5 linked regions of the Coturnix japonica genome follow. The protein of the gene in region 3 purifies or fractionates together with the protein of the main gene of each other region. This does not show direct contact. Links are inferred from orthologs where the notes say so. Each region holds a gene or a part of one and is shown on either strand. Other genes may lie near its edges.

Region 1 (4,411 bases), on a different chromosome or scaffold from region 3:
GGATAAAGAGATAAGCACATGATAATCCTGAGCTCCAAGTCTGCCAGCAGTCAAAGCAACATCTGGAGATTCATCACTCACTCCAGAAGGATGGAGAGAACTTTTCATGCGTGTCTGTGACCAACAAATGTATCTGCTGCTCACAGACACAAACACGTGCCCTCTCAGTTAGGCTGCATAACTGGCAGTGCTTCCTGACACTATTGGCTTCCCAGCATGTTATGCAAAGGAAATTATATGGGATCAATTTTACTTATTAGCAGCCTGAACTACAGTGTCATCATTTCAGCATCATCTCCACGTCTGTGCCTGCTGAGGTCAGAAACAGCTGCTTCCTCTTCCAAAGCAATAATCACAGAGAGAATAAAGTAGCACCGTGGATGTGCAAAGGACGGACACTGCAACCCATTTCAACACGTCCAAGAGCACACCGCAACTGATTCTGACTGGGCCAATGTATGTACTTACATTCATGGTATGACCTTGGGCACAAAAATAATCTGCACAGAGCCCACCAACCACACAACAAAATGCTCAGCTTTCAAGAAGCTGTCTTGGAAAAGCCCACACATGGGGAAGGATGAGAGTGCACAAGCACAGCACATACAGATGGCCATCTGAGCTAACACTATGAAGATGGTCCTGTCTGGGACCTCAATTAGCACAAGCACAAAAGCACTAGATTCCCTGAATCCTGCCTTTTTCTCCTCTCCACTAACCCCAGAATGAGAACTAGTGTTTGAAAATCAAGCCAAGATCTTCAGTATACAGTACAGAGGTAATCAGCACTCAGCTGAGCCAGATGCACATTATGCTGTTCCTTATCAGCAAGTAAAGAGATTCCTGCAGCAGTAATTAGAGATAATTAAAGCCTCTGTATAAACTTCTACTACTTCAGCAAACTGAAAATTCCAAAATGAGATGGATTTTTAAGAAGTTATGTAATCAAAACAAGGATTTTTTTCCCCCCTGTTATATATAGCAGGCAAGGCATTAAAACCTGCAATCAAAACAGCAAACAGCACAAGTGAACAAGCAACTCGTTTGTGCTCAGTTCTGAAAATAAAGGGGGAAATAAACACCGAAATGTGGAAGTGGATCTTATGTGATCTGCCAAAGAAACAGAAAAGGCTCTCCACAGCACAGAAGGGTCCAGCTTCTCAGTTCTGCTTCCAGACCTGAAGGCTGGCTTGGCCCTTCTAAAATAAACCTTCTTTTTAGGAGATGAGTACAAAGCACTTCCATATACTGAGTCTTGGTGGCCAGACATTAACATCTACCCGGACGGCCTCACATCTGCTCTCATCATGTTCCAAGCTGACTAGACATAAGCCAGCTCTAACTGGAAGGCCAAAATAACTTGCAATCTAGCAGCAAGAGGAGCCTGATACAGCTCAGTGGGGTTAATAGCTCAGGCTTAGCATTGCATGGCTGTGCCTGCACTGCTTCCAGCCTAGGCTGGCTCAGCAGACATCCACGGCCTTCCATCCATTTAGCCATCCATCGTCCATCCGTCCGTCCATCCATCCATCCATCCATCCATCCATCCATCCATCCATCCATCCATCCATCCATCCATCCATCCACACTGCTTTGGTTAGGAAGCAACTGGTATCAGATGCTTAAGCCTTCTTTGAAGTGAAAGGACAGTGGGTGTCCCAAGTTTCATGCAACTGTAACCCAGATCTAGTGATAACACAGGACTGTGTAGATTCATTAGGTGATAACAGGGTGAACCCTCTTGCAGTTTATCAGGCTTGACTATTCATCTGTCAAGAGTGCAGAGTTTCATATACTGCAAATGGCTGCTGAATTGCCACACTAACAGCAGCTGAGATTTAATGCTGAACTCTTCTCCATCCCGCTGTGCAAACTTAATACCCGCTTTACTTTTCAAATTCAGAGCTTAAAGTTAAAGGGCATATTATGCAAAATAATCCTGGAAAATCTGTCCACTTTAGGTGATGGAAATGTTTTCTTCCAAAGACATTTGTTTTAAAGGATTGATAAGTCACACTAGGGTTTAAGCAACATTACAGAGATATTCAGAGCACGCAAAAAACACATAAAGATTCCTGAAAGCATGATAGTCAAAGCTGGGGATATTCACTGGATTTTCACATTCAAATCCAGATACTAAAACCAAATGGAGTTTGAGTACAGTCAAAGATGCCATTTCCTGACACACTCATCCAGTTGAAGAACCTGCTGCAGCTCTTAAAAGTCTAAATTTCCTACTGGATTTGAACTCAACACTGCTCTGCCAGTTCAGCCCTGTTGTTAAAGATGCTCAACGTATCACTGACAAACACTTTGACATTCATGCTAAAAGATGGAGCTGGAATCTTTGATTCTCTGTGGGTACTGGAAGGAAGCACTTCCATTAAATTTCGTCTAGACAGAAAACATGCAAACTCAGTACTGTAATCTGCATAGGAGAATTAGAGAATGGGAATTACCTGCTGAAAATTTAATACAATGCTCAATTAAGATTTATTGCTTTGGGCAATCCATCCAAATGCCAGGGTGAACATATAGAACTGCACATTAATAGCTAAACCATTAGTGCTGGTCTTTAACCAGTACACCAAGCAGGACCATTTCACTTCCAGAGCAGTCAATTTAAGAGGTAAGGCTGCTGAAAAAGCAGGATCCTACCAGCACTTAAAAGCTTCTTTCAGCTAGATCTCTTCTAGAATACAGACACCGTATGCTTTCTATGACTTGTCTCACATACCTTAACTCCATCCAGAACAGCTTTTATGACATCTTTAACAGTTGTCACCATCTCTTTGTCTTCGGAATTCACACCTTCCAGCATCACTTGATCAGACCAGCGAATGAGATTGGCCAGGCTCTGGTACACACGGCTGTAGCAGGATGAGATGGCAGAACTGGATGGCAGGGAAGGAAACAGTCAAGAAAAAAAGAGAGAAAAAAAAAAATAATCAATTACAGAGATATTATCACATAGTACCAGAGAGAGCACGATCTAAAGTGCATTTCACACTGCTAAAATTATTTCGACACTACCCACTGTTGTGGTTCTCCTTTTCATTCTGGCATTCATGATTTACGTTCAGCAGGTGACAAAGCCTGGGCTTTCAGCAGTTGCTCTCCTGTTCTTTAGAGCCAAATGGAACAACAGTATGAAAGTACAACCAGCTAATAATCTGAGCTGCAAGCTAACACAGCCATGCTAAGAAGAATGCTCTTTGCCTTTTAATCCACACCCCCATCCTATGCTTCAGCTTCAAAGGCAACTGCTGAATCCTGCATTTACGTCTAATTGATATTATTCCAATGTTATCTATGCTTTCCTTCTTAACTGCCCTCAGAAAACGTTTTACGTTACTGCAAGCTGACTGCATCACTCCTTTACAAATCATTTCCCCCACTGTTTATGATGCCTGAAAACAAGCAATTCAAACCTGCTTCTTTACAAACTTTGAGCTGAATGAATTTCAGGTTTGGAAGAGGAAGGGTGTTGTTTTGTTTTGCTTTTAATGAGAACCAGAACCCAAAGCTATTGTTCTGAAGGAAGAGAAATGAAATTTGGAAGGATGACAACCCTAAATAAAAGTTAACTGTAACAACAGTGCTCAGAGGCACTTTCCTGGCCGCGCTGAAAACATTTCATTACTAAACAAGGTGTGTTAATAGTAATGCTGATGGCAACTCTTTGTAAAATTAAATCACTTTCAAACTGCATCAAAACCCCATAAGGAGATAAGAGAGGGCGCAATCTTGCCATCATCACAGATAGGAGCATTCTGAAGCTTCCCATTCCTCTCTGGCACCCATTTGACACTGGCTTAAATCCATTAATTTCATTATCTGTGAGAAGAGCACCAAACCCACAAACCCAAGTGAGATGATTCAGGTGTTTGCAGAACCAGGGGTAGAACTATTGTCAGCCTATAGCCAGAGGGATACAGACAGCAGCAAGGGCTTCTTAGTTTGTTTGTTTTATAAGCACAGTGTTTGCCATTTGTTCTAATTTTAAACAAAATTAACTTAGTGGGAGATATTTCCTAAATAGGGCCCTCCTCCATCTCTTTCTCTGGCTTTGATTTCTTTGTGATTAATCTTTGTTCTGCTTCCTTCTAAGGAGGCAGTAATTGAAAGCCTATTTTGTGCTAGATTTAATTACTTTTTTCCTCGATGCAAACCCTTCCCCTAAAGCAAAAAGAAGCCCAACAGTAATTGTAGGGCTTTCTTCCACACTGACACAAGTCTTGCTCTCTTTTCTTGAGGGGGATTTACCATCAAAAGCAGCCCTTTGTGTCCTGCCACTACTCAAAATAAATAAAGTGCATATGTAGTCATGAAAGGACGTGGCTTTTAGGGAATGACAAATCCCCTTTTTCTCTGTGCAGCCAAACAAGGCAGAACATACACAAGGGATCTG
Region 2 (4,411 bases), on a different chromosome or scaffold from region 3:
CATGTATCTCATGAGACAGAGTGGTTGTGAACAGCAGTTGCAAACTCACAAAAAGGAATACACAGTTTTTGGTAACCTCTGCCCCCAAACCCACCAAATCAGTAGTTTTAAATGCTAGAAGAGCTTTCTGACATGGCTCTGATACTTAATAAAACTAAAAACTGAGGTCATGATGTCCTACCGTCAACCCTCCTCCGTGAGCAAACACGTATAAAAGCACATCCCTTGTCATAAATGAGACTGTGCAGCTGAAGAGGAGGCTCAGACGTAAGGACTCAAGTCAGGTCTTTTGCCTGCAATTAAAAAGAATCATTAGCAGTATTCTCAGCTTCCTAAAATACCTATTTCTAACAAAAGAGTCTGTCATACTTGAGTATCCAAGTATAGAGTGGATGTGATAAACTCAGTGCCTTCGGGACAAAGTTCTTGGCAGTCCGTGTAATTAAGCCAGCTGCTTTTCAATACAGTTTAAGACTAAATACTACACAAACATTAATCATCAGGGACTGCTGTAATCAGCTCAACAACAGGCGGGAATGGCGATTTCCACTGCAGCAATTGATTACAGAGGGGCTGGTACAGCCACGTCTATATGGATGGAGTCTACCTGTGAACAAATATCATCACTGTGGGATGTGGAGAAAAAGGACTGTTTTCTCCAGTAGTGTTTAGTACTGATTATGCTTTCCTAATCTTAACACCTTGGATTAAACATGGAAGTGGGCACTAGATGCACCAACTGTATCCAACCCTGGTTTGGTTCTCAAACAATGGCACCATGGCTGAGCTCCCCTGTGGGAATACAAGAAAAGCTGTTCAGAGCAGCAGCTGTGGAGCAAGATAAACAGCATGAGAACCAAGGACACCTCTGCAAGGAGAAGAAGAGTCTCACAGCTCTGATTGGATACGTGCCTGCATGGACAGTTGAAAAGTGTTTTGAAGAATGCTTTGTTGACATGTAAAGGTGGTTGGGAAAGTTGTAAGGGCGGACGGGAAAGTTAGAAAATAACAACTTGTAAAGGTATATAAGGGATGTGAGAACTTGTAATAAACGATTTGGATCATTCACATCTGAGTCTGTGCCTCAAACGCTGCACTCCCCATCTCCCAGCCTCACATGAGGTAGAAGACACATTTCTGACCGTGCTCCAAACAACTGGATATATATCTAATGCACTTGGCCAGAAAAGTGAAGAAAATTACAATTACAACTTGATTTTTTCATGCTTTTGGTGTGGCTCAAGCTTTCTTTGGCCTGAAGCTGGCTCAGTTTCACCTCAAGCATAATTGCACTGCGAGAGACCCCAAGCAACATGAAGGGCTATTTCTGAAGTTTCTGCTGCCATCCACCCAGAGAAGGCTGCATTTTAGGAGGCAAACAGCATGATTTTGGCAGGGAAATGCGTTCAGTGTACATCATAATCCCTCCTCCCCAACCTGATTTTCCTTTGTATAGAGCAGGTTGGGGGACAAAATAGGAAAGCCAAGTTCTTTGCCTTTCCACAGGGACTGTGCAGAGCTCACTTCCAGCCAGGTCAATGCACACCAGATCCATGGGACTGGCTTTTCCTTCGTGTTTCAGGCACCCATGGGATGCCAAGGCCAGAAGATCTCTCCACATCCTCTTAATGAGCTCACTGAGCTTCATGGGAGCCTTTACAGTGACTTCAGTGGGCTCTGGACCAGACCCAATGTTTTGTCTCCCCTGAGAAGTGGTGATGAAAGGGGCTATAGAAAGATGAAGCACTGCACTCTGCTCTTCATTTCATTATCTCACCATGCAAGCGTTCAAGTCCACAATGAGAAGCACAGGCCCTGGTCTTCACAAAGCATCTGGCTGTGCTAAATCTTCCCCTTTGGGACTTCTCTCATCTCTCTCCTAGATGATGATTATTATTTTTACCATAAGCATGAGGATATTTGCTCCATTATTCTTGTAAAAGCCCAACACTGCAATGTCTTAAAAGGGTCATCAGAGCTTTTCCCTTAAGATCGTCCCATTTCATGGCAGGGCAGAGGAAAACACAAACGTGTGTTGGAAACTGAGGACTTATTTTATGAGGCAGATCCTAGCCTCTAAGGGTCTGGCATCCTGTACCCATGTGAGATGCATCTGACCCTTTCCAAACTCAGGCCAAGATTAAACAACTGTGTTAACACTTAAGCATCAATACTTAATACAAACGATTGCTTTTCTTGGTGGTGGTTGTGGGAAGTAGAGCTCCTGGTGCTGGGAGGGGTCCATCTTGAAGAAAGAATAACTCAAGCTGTTTAGCAAATGTTATTACCTAATCCTTCTAACGTGCCTTTTGTTTAGCTCTCGATATGCAGTCAGTCTGTTTATCTGTGTCAGCGCTTGCTGTCTGGCAATCAGGCAGCTCCATGGCAATCATTAGTTCTTCCTGTTTTCATGAGATCATGAGTAATTATCTTTGCAATAAGCTGCCTCTTCCTTCTCTACTCTCCATGTGCGGCAGCTGCTTGGGGAACAATCCCAAAGCCTCCATGTGTCAAAGATGCAGGCAGTGGAACAGCAGCTTCCCATCCATTATCAGAACCTGGGGTCGTGACCATCACAAAGTCCCATCTGTATCAAAGAGGTATCACCAAAGATGAGGAACAATATTTAGACCAATCCTTTGCTTCCAGCATGAACCAGCTCTATGCTACAATACATTTAACACTGAAATACCCTGTCCTGCTTCTTCTGGCCAGCTCCTTTCCAAGCCTAGGGCTTCACCACTGACAAACATTTCAGTTATTCCACTCCTTTCACCCCAGATAAAGCCCACAGAAGCCCCTCACCCAAGTCCAACTTCTGAGGTACAACATCTGCCTTCTCCTGGTCCCTACATCTCCTCTTGCCTCCCACTTATCACTCAACCTCACATCAACCCAGGTACACAGGCGCCCCACAGCCCTTCTGAATGCCTCATACAGATAGCCAAGGGTAGGACTCATCCTCTCTGGGCTTATTTTTGTGCCACAAAAGGTAGGTTTTGGTTCCTAGGGCCAGATTCACAGGCAATTGGCTTCAGAGAGGCTGAAATTCTGCCATCCAAAGCCAGCATCTCCAACCCAATGACTCTGAGAGTCAACCATAAAAGACACTCCATCACACCTGGGTGTTCCTGCATGCATGCAAGTGTCTGAGTACGTGCTGGTGTATGTATGTACGGTGGGGTAAGTCCTGGACTGCAAAGCCAGCTCAACAAGGCAGTCTGGAAGCTCTTCGAGCTCATCATGGTTACAAATCACTACCAGAAACACAGAGGCTGTCCCACAGTGAGAAAAACTATCAGAAGTTTTGAACACATCACTATTTACAATAGATGGGATGATGAAAATAAAGTCAAAGAGGAATGGTCTTTGCTCAGGTTTGGGATTGAGTGGATGCTGAGAAGAAGGCAACCATAAGGAGAAGAGAATTGGTGGTGGGAAATGATGTCCTAGAAGAGATGCTGCCAAACCTAAGTGGCACAGTTTATGGGCATGGTATGGAAGAAGGCAGGGAAGGATGGTATTAGCATATACAAGGTGGCTTTAATAACTGTAAGCAACAAATGTGTAAGGTGGAACCTGGTATTGCTACATCAAAGTTCCTGGATGGTGCATTCAGCAGCTAAAGCACAAACCCAGCCAACAAATACAGTTGACCTTTATCACTGGCAAACAGTATCTGCCAAGTCTTCCTCTGCAATTAAGTTCCTTTTGTCTTAAAAGAAAATGATAATAAAGAACCCTTCCCCTCCACACAGACAGCAGTTTTAGAGAAATCCAGTCCAAATGGAGCTGGAAGTCTGGTAGGGCCCCAAGCTGGGAGAACCCCTGGGACATTTGCCTGTTAGGTGTCTGCCCTGCCGCTATTGCTTGGTGCTCTTGGTGGCTTCTGAGGACTGCCGCACATCAGTCCACTCCTGCATGGTGCTCTGCAGCGCCTGTGTCTTCTCCTTGTCCACTTGCACATAGTCAACCTTCTCATCTGAGGCAGCTGATGAGGTGGAGGGCTGTGGGGAGGAGAAAGACAGCCACCAGCTGGTTATCCATCAGCAGCCATCGACTCCCATCCTCCCTTACAGTTCATCACCCTCCCTCTGACCTCCTGAACGGTATCGGGTGAAAGATTTTGGTCTCTTCTGCAGCTTTCTTGCATGAGACCACAGTGTGATGGGAGGGTTAAACCAGCACCCAGGTCTCTGCCTTCTCACCAGCTCTGGAGCACGAGTCGCATCTTGCTCATTTTCTTGTAAGATCTCAAGAATTCTTACAGACACACGGAAAAATCTTATCATTGCTTTTAATCAGAAGTTTATCAAATCCCCAGTACCTTTCTGTGTGGCCCTGGTGAGCTTGGCTGGAAGTCCAGGGCAAGATAATCCACACTACCCGAACTCTTTTTAGGCGCTGGGCT
Region 3 (3,912 bases):
AAGGTACTTTCAGCTGAGTGAGAACAATGTACTTTTATGAGGATCAAGTGACACAATCAGTAAGAAAATGCACTGGATCTGAAGACAATGATCAAACTGACATTTATAAGAAGCAGGAAGGTTCTGCGGGTGTCTGAGGTTTCTCTTTTTGCTACAATGGATAGCTTCAGATATTGAGAAATGAATGCATTGGGGCACTACTGTTTTCCTGTCAGATATCCCTGGTTTTCTGCAGCAGATGCTTTTCTTTATCCAGGCTGTATTCTGTTCAATTGGTGCTCAAATCATTTAAAAAATACGTTCCAGTTCACCTTGAAAACACATTTAAAGAAGGTAGAAGATACTACTGTCCCTAAACTTTCATATCCCGTAAACAGGTTAAGAACTTGACCAGCGTGGCATTGATAAGACTCACATAGCTACAGCCATATAGTTCCTTACCAAAGGTGCAATTACAACAGTACAGCTTTTGTACAGAAAAGGGGAGAGAAAGCTGTATTGATAAGAGACACCTGTGTGGCCTCCTCCAGCATGAACTTTAATTATCAGGTGTAAAACCTTTGGCAGCTGACTCCAATTAACCACTTTCTAGAGGAAGCTGAGAGTAGGAGGGGTCTGGGGCATATGTATATAAGCCAGAGCCAACTCCTTTGGAAGGTGAAAGGTTGCAGCATGTGAATGACTTGTGATGTGAGGGGAAGAAAATGAAAGAAGAAAGAACTTCTGGAAGAGGAGCACGGCAACGTGGAGATACCCTGGAGAAAAAGGTACTGTGTTCAAAGCCTTCAGCAAGTTGGGGCAGGTATAGCCAGGAAACTTGAGAGCAATAAGGGAGACTATAGAGAAACAGGTATAAAAGGTTTATGTTTAAATAGTAAGAATTTATCAGTATTTACCAATGTCTTCTGTCCTGTTCCTTTTGTACTTCTTCATGCTGTAACAATCTGATCCATCTGCCTACCAAATAACAGCTGGGTGACAAGCATTACTACATTAGTAAAGCTCTACTTCCAACACTGCAGAAGGGCTCTGTGTAGACCAGGTCAAAGTGTTTCCCTTTAACGCTCACTTATTACAGTTAGTGCTTGCAAAATCAACAGAAATACTTTATGTCAGAAATGGGTTACAAGTGTGAACCCCTCCTAAGCTTCCTTATAAATAAATGCTTCAGCTTCAATGCAGCTCAACCAATGGTTATTTGTATTTAACACACACTTCCAGGAAGGTCAACAAGCTTAAGAGTTAACCAGAATGAGCAGCTTCTAATGCAACTGCTTAGAATACGTAAGCTTCAGTTAATGTCCTTTTAAGAGACCATCATTGTAAGTGTACTACCTTAGGGCAGGTTTTCTTAAAACTAAGTTTTCTTCAGTCCTAAAATTGCATTTTTGTTGTTGCTTTTTGTTGGACAGTAACAGACGAGTTGCATGTTTGCTCTATGATAGGGCTCTTCCTACTGAGCAGGCCAGAACAAGTCCATGGAAGTTTCAAGAAGAAGGATTTTCTTCCCATGCTTGTCTGCTATTTGCTTCAGTCTTCTCCAGCTTAAGGCCCAATACAGTTTTAAAAGTGAAACCAAATTCTGGTTGCTGTATCTATGGTATGAAGGTCAGGCAGTGACTTCAGTTTGTATGTATTCCAAATGTGTATTAAAAGAACTGTCAAACTGCAGCAAGCTGGAAAAATGGGCAATGCTAGCAATGTGCCATTTAGCCATCATCCCACCTCAAACAACACTAATGAGAGCCAGGAAAGGGAAGCAGCAGTGTAAATCAGATCAAGGGAATCATTCGTTCTCATCTGGGTTTTGAGGGTCAAAGATTTTGACATGTGTGAATGGGAAGAGCCCTTTTCGCCCGTTGACCTCTCCTTCCCACTGACCGTTTATATTCATCCTTGTAACCTTCACAATATCTCCAACCTGCAGCATTAAAAAAAACACCTGTTAGCACACATGAGAATCTCAGCTTTGATACAAATCAAGTAAACAAGAACAAAAAATACGACTTCGTAACTTAAAATACCTTTAGCTTTAAAGGGAAAGCAGTTGTTTTTAACTGATACAAACACTTTGGTGCTGGAAATCTGTACACTTTTTGGGACAGCTGAACTGAATGTATATTTACATGTTGCAATGAGTTGCTGAACCACACCTTTTCCTGTAAAAAAGCTTCTTCATGCTGCAATATATTTAGCTTAGACAGACTGACATCACTAAAGCTACCACAAGTAATGAGATGCAACAAGCATTCAAAAGAGCACAGTACTTGTTTTCAGCATTACCAGGTTTATTTCAAAGGGAAATTATCTTTTTCAAAGAGATTCCTGTAGTAAACAGACTCAGAGTTCCAGTTCTGGCTGTAAAGGTCTAAGAAACTGGTGGAGTTCTCTGCAATTCTGCTGTGCTTCCAAAGCAGATAAAAGCATTCCGTAACAGGTGTTCCCAAGTCTAAGATGCACAAATTCTAGCTTGGTTTGCTGCTTTCACCTTCACTTCCCATCAGAGAGTTTGAAACAGGAACAGTGACTTGTTGAGCCTTTCCTATCACAACTGCGTCTCTTCCTATTTGGCCAAAGATGAGCAGAGCTAAGCTATGATCGAGCAAAAAAAGAAAAAGCCATCAGCTCAAGTGGTAAATTATTCTGTTCGGTGCTGTGTTTAATTTGTATTAGGATAATTCATAAAGCAAAATGTGCTACAGCAGGCAGTGCTGAAGACTATATAGTTATTTCCCCCTAAACTGTTTCAGAAGAGCTGAGCATGCGGCCTGTTGCAGCAGCCTTCTTAATTGCATCTCCCTTCCTGTTTACTGAATTGCATCTATGTGGTAACTATAGTAAAGTATAGAAAAGTGACAACAGCAGCTAATAGCTGAGGGCACAAAAGGTAGAACCATGCTACAGCTAACAGTAAGCACTTGAGAAGGTTCTACCCCAAAGGAGGTTCAAGCACTACACAGCCGGGTTTCACATCAGCAGCCAACTTCTATAAGCTCCAGAGGCAACAAGCTGTGATCTTCTTGAGGGAAAAACATGTTAGACACAGTATGTCAATAATAACAATTCATATGCATTATCTCAGTAACACTGACATGTAGAACTAACACAGGTAGTTTCAGGACCTCGGCAAAGGATTTTGAATTCTAACTTCTCAGTTAGATGGGTGCATCTTTACTCAAAGTAAAAGGCTGATTTTACAAAACATATTCCTAAAGCCTACTGCAAGTAGTTACCATTACTGCAATAAAGCGTTATTTGAAGATTGCTCAGAAGCATTCCTAACCCTTAAGTGAGACTTAAGATGTTACACTCAACTCTGGCACTCGCTCAGCAATGTGTAGCTCTGAAGATTTCTCAGAAATGTAAGCATATTAGAATGGAGTTAGATAATAATTATGTTCACCCCACTCTCTTGCCCTGCTTTTACCGCTACTTAGAGGTTTTTTCCACTTCCCATCTAGATGTTCCAGATGGCACATGTGGAACAATGTTGTACTTTCCAGAGAGGAAAATCCTCTCTGAACTCCTATACGTTCTTGTGATAATTGTGGGACTTTCTTCAACTGTCATCTTCACGTATGTAAACTAAAAGATAAAGTCTGTGTATCCTCTAAGTAGTGATACACTGCCTGATAGTTACATGCTCCTGTAGCATCAGTGTGGCTGGTTTCCATCTCTTCTTGGAGTGCTGCAGCTTGTCTTGATGGTGTGTTTGAGAAAAAGCACAATTTGTCTGACTTCTCATTAAATGGAAAGTCTAGAGAAAGCTTTATATAGTAACACGATGACTTAAACAGGAACCTAACAAAAGCCTCTTTAGGAAAAGGCTGATAACATCTATAAATAACTCGGTGTTACTCTGCTAGATTTAAGTAACTTTTAAGGACAAACTTGAGTTCCAGGTTTTAGACT
Region 4 (4,411 bases), on a different chromosome or scaffold from region 3:
AAGTCATAACTTAAAGCCAGAGAAGACCTCTTGGAAGCCAGTCAGGCTGATGGATGATAGTATCAACTCTGTTAAACACAACGAAAACGTGTTAGGTGAAGAAAATTTGTCTTGACTGCTGATGTCCAGTCTAAACTAAAAACATCAGTTCCCTTGAGAGTTGGCACAGAGACGCTCTTAGGGAGTGATTTATGGTTTTTTAGGTGGATATCTGAGAAGAATGGCTTTTTTTTCACACTGTATCAATATCTCCACAATGAATGAAGAGGAAACCTAAATGAATAGCTAAACTGGATTCCTTTCTCCCCAGGTTGCTAGAACCTGGAAGGAGAACCTGGAGGTAAAAATCTGGCTATTGCTTAAGTAAGGAAATGTTTGATTTTATAGACAAATTGATCATTTTTAGAACAAGAATCTTTTAAAGGAAAGATAGTGCTGATTTGAATCTTTTCTTCAGCAGCTTTGTAAGCTATATTGCCCAGTTGCTTAGTATGAGTAGTATACCAGCTATTCATTATTATACACATGCTGCAATATGTAGGTATGTATAAACAAAAACAATGATATGATGCTGTGGTAACGATAAAAGGAAACACCAGGATATGGTGGAAAAACTGCATCACCTCCACCTACATTAGTATTTCTGCAGTTGTCTTAACTTGCACTTAAACAAGGATTCAGACTTAGAATCTCTCTTCCTGGAGCAAGGTAACTGGGGAGGTGTTCTCCCCTATATCCTCCTACCCCCCCCAATAAAAACAACAGTAAACAATACCCCAAACCAGAAGGTAGTTGTTTACTTTCTTTATTCATTTGTACCAGTAATAATGAGAGCTGTTCTCATAAAAAGTGGCCGTTCCAAAAAAAAATAAAGGCAAGTAACTGTGCAGTTTTGCGTAATGATGTGACCTTGTGTTCACAGAAAAGAAGCACTCTGTTGTTGCGTATGTCATATGGATTTCTCTCTTTTTCTCTTTTTTATAATATGATTTAAAACAAACAAAAAACAAACAAAAAAAACAAAAAACAACTACTTGAATCAGTTTTATTTGGTTAGTAGGTAACTTCAGGCATGCACTTAAGGGTGTTGCAACCAGTCATATTTTATCATATTTTTTCATACTGGTTAGAACTAGCAAGTATTCTAATCTCAAGGGTTGAATGCATTTTCACTTTTAAGTGTTGTTGAAACGCTGCTAGTTTGCAGAACTGATTAAAAGAATAAAAAATTAAAGAAACCCAACCTTCAACTACCCAAATAGACTTTGCTTTAGGTTGGCTTGACATCTTCCTGGAAATCACTTGCTTTATGAAATACCAACTTGCTGAGCTGCTGCTAAAGCTGCGCACTTGTGCTGTTATGTTTCACATGCATGGGTCTGTATATGTGTAATCACTTAGAATCCTTCTGCAGTACTGTTTGTTTTGTAATTGGGTTCCTGCGTTTCATTTTTTAAAAGTTGGAAGAGACTGATAAACCTTTCAGCTGTTCACATTTTAAACATTTTTTTAATTATTCTTGATGCTTGTTTTCTTTGTGTTCATTGATGTTTTAATCTCTTGATCTTGTGTGTAGATCTCATGCTGACTCTGCAAAATCCAGCTCTTCTGAAACAGACTGCAATGATAATGTGCCCTCCCACAAAAACCCCGCTCCATCCATGAGCAAGCAAGCTGTGAATGGCTTTTTTCAGCAGCAAGGTGTCTATGACTCTCCGCCTTCTCGTACTGGACTACCATTGGCAGACTCCAGCCTTTATAACCTGCCTAGGAGTTACTCACAAGATGTTTTACCGAAGGCAGCATCTCCAACAGGGACTGATGCAGAAGGCGAGCAACATGTTTTCAATACGCCATCAGCAACATCGTCATTAGATGCACAGATGAGGCACATCTCCATTAGTTATGACATTCCCCCTACACCTGGAGGTACTTATCAGATTCCAAGAACTTTTCCAGAAGGAACATTGTCTCAGACTTCAAAATTGGAGACTATTCCAGATATTCCTCCACCTCGGCCACCAAAACCTCACCACGCTGCAGATCGATCTCCTGTGGAAACATGTAGCATTACTCGAACAGCTTCAGATACTGATAGTAGCTATTGTATCCCTACTGCAGGAATACCGCCCTCACGCAGTAATACCATTTCAACTGTAGATTTGAATATCTTTCGTAAAGGTCAGTGCTCCATATTTTACTTTTCTCTTCCAGATTCTTTTAATACTGAATGATATTAGTCTTATGAAGAAAGAAGTGGTACGTGTGGGTTGAATATTGAGTGTTGCTTGTATCCTTGAGAAGCAAGTGTGTGGCACTTCACAAAGCACTCACTGAAGTCTAAAATATGGAAGAAACCAGAGAAAGAGATGTTTAATAAAGGAAAGACATCAGAATGTCAGAACATTGATAGAGGCTACTCCACTGTGGTATTCAGCTTTAGCTGAATGTTTTTGAAGTGCTAGACGTTTCCGTGGTGTTACTAGTCTTACAAAACAGCAGAGGAAAAATAAACATTGTTTTTTGCTAATAACATCATATAGCTGAGTTCAAAACCGCTGCTGTCAGTCTGTCAGAACAACCAAGGTAAGGTTCGCACATAGTGATCCAAATCTGCATAAGCTGGAAGTTCAGTGGAGTTTGGTATGCACCAGGAACTTTTAGGTCAACCCTGAACTGGTTATTGATACTACAGAAGTTTTGTGTTAGACGTGCATGCAAAGTTTTTAAAGTAAAATTGAAGTTGTTCCTTGTAGCCTTTTAAATGTCAGCACTGCGGACTTGCTAATGCATTTCTGTTGTTTTTCCTTTAGCAGCTGGATACATTTCTGGGTACTAGCAAATCCAGTGGAGCTACTTTTACTTTAGAAAGACTTTAGTGTTTCTTGTATTTCTGCCCGTTTATTTGTACATGTTCTTATTCTCTCAGATTTAAAGTAAAGAAATGCAGTGAAAGGCTGAGTTTGAAAAGTGACATTTGTTGTTACAGAGAGCAGTTGCTGTTGTCTTACTAAAAACGTTTGGGCTAAGAGTTTCATTTCTTTCAGGTTCCTGAGGCAGGTGGGTATGAAGGCATGACTTTTAAAGTGGGATTCTATACTGGCTGCTGCTGATGTCTGTGGGGACAGTTGCAGTGCCTGTGGGTCAGCAGGCAAAAATGACAAAGATGATGGTGGTGGGGGAAGCCTTTGGAGCTCTTTTTCTAGGTCAAGAAGGGAATGAAACAGTTTCCCCCCAAGTTTCTGTCTTAGTGTCAGTAGAAGCAGGCTTGCTGAGCAGTAATGCAAGCTGTTGCCTGCAGCAGGTGAGTGGGACCCAGGACCTGGGAGCACAGTATTTCACAAACATCCTCCAGAGAGGCAGTCACGAAGGTGGACCTTCTTAATGTGGAGTGCTGGGAGCCAGGATCCTGAGAAGCATGAGATATTTAGGTTCTGTCACTTATTCAAAGTGAAAACCCCTGGAAACCTAACAGGGGAGTTGAGAGAAGAGTTGTGGGGTATAAGAATTTACCTGTCAATGTAATCAATTAATTTCTGTTGAATCAGCACTTTCCAAGCAAGCATGTTCAGTCGGAAGACCTCTCTCTAGACCTTAAATTATATCTGTTGTTCATTTATTTCATAGTAGGTTTCTCATGAGGGCCGTATATCTCAAAATGTATTGGTCTTGCAGTAAAGTTTTATACCTGTCTGTTTTGAAAGGAAGATTTATCTGGTTCTTTAAAAGGAATAATTTGTGTTTTTTTTGGTTTTTTTTTCCCTGCCATGGAAAACATCACTATAAGATTTTCAAGTTGATTGGCAAGTGCTGAGTTCGTTTATGAACACAGTCATCTCAAGTCTATAGATAAAAACTGTTGGTCACAACTTTGGGAGGTGTGTTTGCATGGTGTCGTAGAAGCAGACAGTAAATAACAATGACTGGTGCCAGGGGACGGGTGAGCAGGAATGATTAATAGCCACTTTCTTATTTCTTTAGAAATTAGTTCTCAAGACTGTTATGATATTCCACGAACGTTTCCGAATGACAGATCTAATTCATTGGAGGGCTTCCATAACCACTTTGTAAGTATGATGTGATCTTATGACAGACAACAGTGATAGCTTAAATGCTCTTTGTTTCTGTATAAAAAAGCAAGCTGTATGGTGTTTGTGATGTTCAGTTTCAAAATGATGTTTTAATCTGAGTAGCTTAGGTTAAAAGATTCATATGATTCTCAGCTGATTGCGTAACTTATTTTGTTAAAGGAAATATATGTTAATTCTAGAAAAACAGAAGCATGTTGACAGTGGGAAGTGTTTCAAGTGAAGAACTAGATGAGAATTATGTCCCAATGAATCCCAACTCTCCTCCACGACAGCATTCCAGCAGCTTCACTGAACCCATCCAGGAAACAAATTATGTTCCA
Region 5 (4,411 bases), on a different chromosome or scaffold from region 3:
GATGAAGATGTAAAGAGTGTAAGTCCCAGTACTAAACTCTGAGACACGCAACTTGTCACTGATTTCCATTTGGACATTGATCCACTGATCACCACTCTCTGGGTATAATCTCACAGCCAGTTCCTCATTCAAACACTCCACACTTGTCAAATCCATATCAGTTCTCATGACCTGTAGAAACCTTCTGAGCTACTTCAACCACAGTAACTTGTGGATGTCAGCATGGTTATTCTCCTAGAAGCTACAGGGTCTGTGGTAATAACCCCTTGCTTAAAGAAGACTTTGGTAAATTTTTGCAGGAGAAGCTCAGACACAACATTCCTTTTGAAGACCTTCCTCTGTAATGTCCCCCATCTTCAAGCTTCAGTTTCTTTCCCGTAGCAAGCCTAGTGTAATAGCCCTCCTCACCAGCTCAGGACACCTGCTGGCAAAGAAGCCCTTGCTTCACTCTGCTGTTGAAATCTAGTCACTGGGTTGTTGTTGTTTGTTCCCCCTGCCTCTACTGAAGATTAAACAGCCTACAAAGATTGAAGACTAAGACTATAAAGGTGAATGCTCTAGAAAAATAGTTTACTCTCGACTGGGGGAGGGTTAGAAAAAGAAATCAAAAATCTAAATAAAGGCACCTTGGCAGACATGCGCTTAGCACCTGCGTGCAAATCCTTAAAGTCCACGTGATTAACAACAGCAACAGAAAAATCAGTATTTTCTTACCTCAGCCATATCTTCAAAACAGCTGCCTACTAACGGATGAGGACTACCTTCATCTGTCATTTCAACAGTGTCTTCTATATGACCCAATAACTTTACACTAAGTTCATGAATGTCTGATATACGACTAAAGATATTTTCAACATCCTGCAAAGAAACAGAAACAGGCAAAAATCAATGAGGAACTGGACATAATTTGAGATACAATGTTATGTACAAAACAACTCTGTTACAATATGAGAATTAAACATTTCCTTAACCAGAACAAGAATTTATAAACAATATTGTGTATATAACTTTTGAAATATAAAATCATAGCATTTATTTTTAAAACAATGACTTTGTATATGTACATATAAAAATAAAAGCATTTACAATGAATTTAATGTGGCAGAGAGCATTGACCAACCTTTAACTCGTCCTTCCTGCAAGTGAACACATAAAATTGAATGGTTTCTTCTACAGAAAGATGTTTCCTCACAAACATTTACAATTCACATTTCAGAACTCAAGGGAAGTGTTTCTCTGCTATGGATGTGTTAAACTGGACAATAGTTAAGTTGTATAAATCTAGATGAGCATTTACAGATTATGTTATATACACATATACTTATTTAAACACAACACTTACATGAGATGAAAATAGTTTGGAGTTGGAGGCATATGGCTCTCTAAAGACTCTGATAATGAGATTAAGTTCCCTTATATATTGCCGGACTTCTGCCATAAATGACTTCACTAGGTCGTAATAGGTTTGCTCCCCTGAAGTGGAGGGCTCCTCGTCAGATAAAGTTAGTGCACTTAAATCTTCTACATCTTGATGGAACATATCCATTAACACCTAGCCAGCAAAGAGGGAGAAAGCCATAAAGTGACAGAACTTCAAGATCTACCAGTAAGTTTTCAGAAAATAAAATTATTTCCATTAAATCAAACTAACCAGCAGCAGTGTTTGTACTTATCGTTCTGCAATTGGTTGAGCATTATGAAAGCAACACGCACTGTTATGAATCTGCAAGTCAATATTTGCAGTGCAAATTTCTGAAGAACCCCATCACTCAGGCCAGTCTTGGCACGTTTCAGAACGTGGTCCTAAAAATCAATCACTGCTCTAAGAGTTCTATGAAGCACGGAGGTGTCAGCATTTAGTAATGTTCTGTAACACTGAATAAGCCTACACAACCTAAGATTCTAAAGATGCAATATTATGGAGAAGCACGTGCGTTTCGGCTCTTCACCTTTGGCTTTAACAGAAAGCCATTTGTGACTTGAACTCAGAACCCCGTTACCTGTGATGAATACCAGCTCCTCAGTTCTTCTGAACTGGAATCACTTAGAGAATTCAGAAGCACGAGCAGACAGTCAAATAAAAATAGCTTGCATTCTAATGCAGGTGATGGTTTTTTGTGTGCGGTTTTGTTTGCTCTGTGGTTTTTTTGTTGTTGTTTCTTTCTTTTTTTAAACAAAGTAGAATTTTTCAGATAGCCAGGTGGCACCAACAGAAGTGTGAAAGCATTTGGAAAGGAGACAGAAGATGACAAACTTTTGGTTGTTTTGTTAAAAAAAGAAAAGCAGAATGCGCACACTGACAGCAGGAACCTAAAGGTCCTTGATGCGGCTGGAAAAGAAAACAGCGTGGAAATACCTGCCAATGGCTTATTCCACTGAGCCAGTAAATCAACATGCCCACTTCAGAGCTCCCAAAAGCTTCTTCTACACTTACTCCAGTGTACTAGTGCCTAATGCACTTTCCCAATTAGCCTCTTTAACCCATCAGCCATCCCTGCCCAGGATACAGAGACACATGCAGCAACAGCACTGTTCCTATTCTATATTCAAGCACACAGCTCCAAACACCGCTGTAACAGCCCAGGAGGGTGCATCCAAAAGACCAAACGACCAAGACAACTGTCCTGACTAATAATTCACTCACACAACCTCACTAATAATTCAGCCTCACACAACACCTTTCTTTCCTCTTGAGATGAAGATGGAAGCAAGATGGAAAAAAAACTCAAGCGTGAACAAGACAAAAGCATTCCTTGAAGAAGAGGCAAGTCCAACCAAAGATACTGAAAGCATCCACTGGACTGCAGCAATATGAGCATCTCTCGAGACCCATCTGTTAAAGGACTAACTTCAGGCTTTGGTTTTTTAAACGGAAAACTCAAGATGCTGATGAGGTGGCCATAGAAACCAGAGTGCGAAGGCACCTGAAACGCAACAGCCTGTTCTCCAGCACTGCTGGATCACTGGGTAAAGAGGTAACTACTGTCTGAATCTAATGACTCTTCTGAAACCAGAGGAAAGAAGACCTGGCAATAAAAGTATGGATGCCTACAGAGAAACAGAGATGCCTACGTTTGTCTGTTTTTAACTTGAGCACAGAAACACTGCAATACGGTCTTATTTTGGGAAAGTACCCATGCTTCAATTCAGCCTTCTTTTTTCTAAGATACAAAGAAGAAAAGCAGGAGCTACTATTAATGCCAATGAATGTGAAATGTTGAAGTCTTTGCTGCTTCACAACTTTTAAAGCATTCACACATTGCTGGGATTAGGCAAGCAATATCAAAAGAAAGAGACACTTAACTGTAAATAAGCACGAGTAACAGCTCTGCAACTCAATTAGCTTTCAGATAGTTTTGTTGCATTACTGGAACAATATTTTACTGCAGCAATTTCTTCATACAACACTGCTTACTCAATAAGGAATAGATAGACAAGTCCTCTTAAAATTCAACTTCAATGCTCTTTTAACATGAAAAACAAGAGTTAAGCTTACCTTATCAGCACACATTGCCACTTTAATATCTTGTTTTGTAATTTCATAATGCCTTATATTTCGTACATAATTCCCAACCAATTTCAGTATGTCTGCAGAAATGTATTCTAATACTGCCACTATGTAAACAGACACTTGGTGGTCGATTTTGTAACCTAGAACCTCCTGAAAGGAAAAAAAAAACCAACACGAAACATCCTATGTTATTCAGGTGTCAAAATATACGATTTGTAACTGTAACCTATGGTGCAAGTTTAAGACTCTACTTGACATTGGCAACATACAGTCTATTTTAGCAACAGTAATGCAACAGTCTGTGGGTCAAGTAAATAAACAGCAACACTGTAGATGCTGCTCTATCAGCTACATTAGTGACCACAGTGAACTGTCCCAGAAGCCTTGCTTGAAAGGTTTCTTGCTTGCACTCTCTAGTGGATAAAGAAAGCCATGTGCTCATTTGCTACAAATTTGGTTATTATTTCGCATGACTCAAAAAACAATCAAGAAATTTCCAAAAATATCCTTAGATGTGTAAATAAAAGAAATATATGCAATTAACTGAACTGGAAACATTGAAAATTAAATTACGTTGAAAGAAACACACGTCGTTGGGCTTTTTTGGTTTACATTTCAGGCACCAAACAGAAATCACACAAAACAAAGCTGTCAATTTCCAATTGCATTCCAAAATCAGGATGACATCGCTACTTACCTTCAATAAAGGATGGATTTTTTCTACTGGGAGAGATAACGGATTTCTTCGTTTTCGTTTCTCAATGGCAGACTGGGCATCAGCTATTGCCCATTTATCAATAGGATGGGGAAAGCTCTTCTGAACACGATCCTTAAATAAAAGAGAAGAACTAAAGGGTAAACACATTATCTCAGTGACCATGGCAATTTTACTACATTATG

The links. Proteins that work in one complex are often made in the same cells at the same time.
Region 1: the proteins of CRKL (region 3) and RAPGEF1 purify together in Homo sapiens (affinity purification with western blotting; 16 studies listed by BioGRID and IntAct, with this or other methods). This does not show direct contact. The link is inferred for Coturnix japonica from reciprocal best matches to the Homo sapiens genes CRKL and RAPGEF1.
Region 2: the proteins of CRKL (region 3) and GAB2 purify together in Homo sapiens (affinity purification with western blotting; 3 studies listed by BioGRID). This does not show direct contact. The link is inferred for Coturnix japonica from reciprocal best matches to the Homo sapiens genes CRKL and GAB2.
Region 4: the proteins of CRKL (region 3) and GAB1 purify together in Homo sapiens (affinity purification with western blotting; 3 studies listed by BioGRID and IntAct, with this or other methods). This does not show direct contact. The link is inferred for Coturnix japonica from reciprocal best matches to the Homo sapiens genes CRKL and GAB1.
Region 5: the proteins of CRKL (region 3) and SOS1 purify together in Homo sapiens (affinity purification with mass spectrometry; 3 studies listed by BioGRID and IntAct, with this or other methods). This does not show direct contact. The link is inferred for Coturnix japonica from reciprocal best matches to the Homo sapiens genes CRKL and SOS1.

Annotation. Positions count from the first base shown.
Region 1 is NC_029532.1:4,845,430-4,849,840, forward strand, and holds part of RAPGEF1 (rap guanine nucleotide exchange factor 1), read right to left. Parts: intron 2,895-4,411; coding exon 2,738-2,894; intron 1-2,737. UniProt on the Homo sapiens protein: Guanine nucleotide-releasing protein that binds to SH3 domain of CRK and GRB2/ASH. Transduces signals from CRK to activate RAS. Involved in cell branching and adhesion mediated by BCAR1-CRK-RAPGEF1 signaling and activation of RAP1.
Region 2 is NC_029516.1:172,541,444-172,545,854, reverse strand, and holds the end of GAB2 (GRB2-associated-binding protein 2), read right to left. Parts: coding exon 4,328-4,411; intron 4,008-4,327; coding exon 3,864-4,007; 3' UTR 978-3,863; downstream 1-977. UniProt on the Homo sapiens protein: Adapter protein which acts downstream of several membrane receptors including cytokine, antigen, hormone, cell matrix and growth factor receptors to regulate multiple signaling pathways.
Region 3 is NC_029530.1:7,291,264-7,295,175, forward strand, and holds part of CRKL (crk-like protein), read right to left. Parts: intron 1,922-3,912; coding exon 1,787-1,921; 3' UTR 1-1,786. UniProt on the Homo sapiens protein: May mediate the transduction of intracellular signals.
Region 4 is NC_029519.1:26,842,579-26,846,989, forward strand, and holds part of GAB1 (GRB2-associated-binding protein 1), read left to right. Parts: intron 1-1,576; coding exon 1,577-2,181; intron 2,182-3,981; coding exon 3,982-4,067; intron 4,068-4,270; coding exon 4,271-4,411. UniProt on the Homo sapiens protein: Adapter protein that plays a role in intracellular signaling cascades triggered by activated receptor-type kinases. Plays a role in FGFR1 signaling. Probably involved in signaling by the epidermal growth factor receptor (EGFR) and the insulin receptor (INSR).
Region 5 is NC_029518.1:14,489,217-14,493,627, forward strand, and holds part of SOS1 (son of sevenless homolog 1), read right to left. Parts: intron 4,341-4,411; coding exon 4,209-4,340; intron 3,662-4,208; coding exon 3,497-3,661; intron 1,553-3,496; coding exon 1,343-1,552; intron 859-1,342; coding exon 715-858; intron 1-714.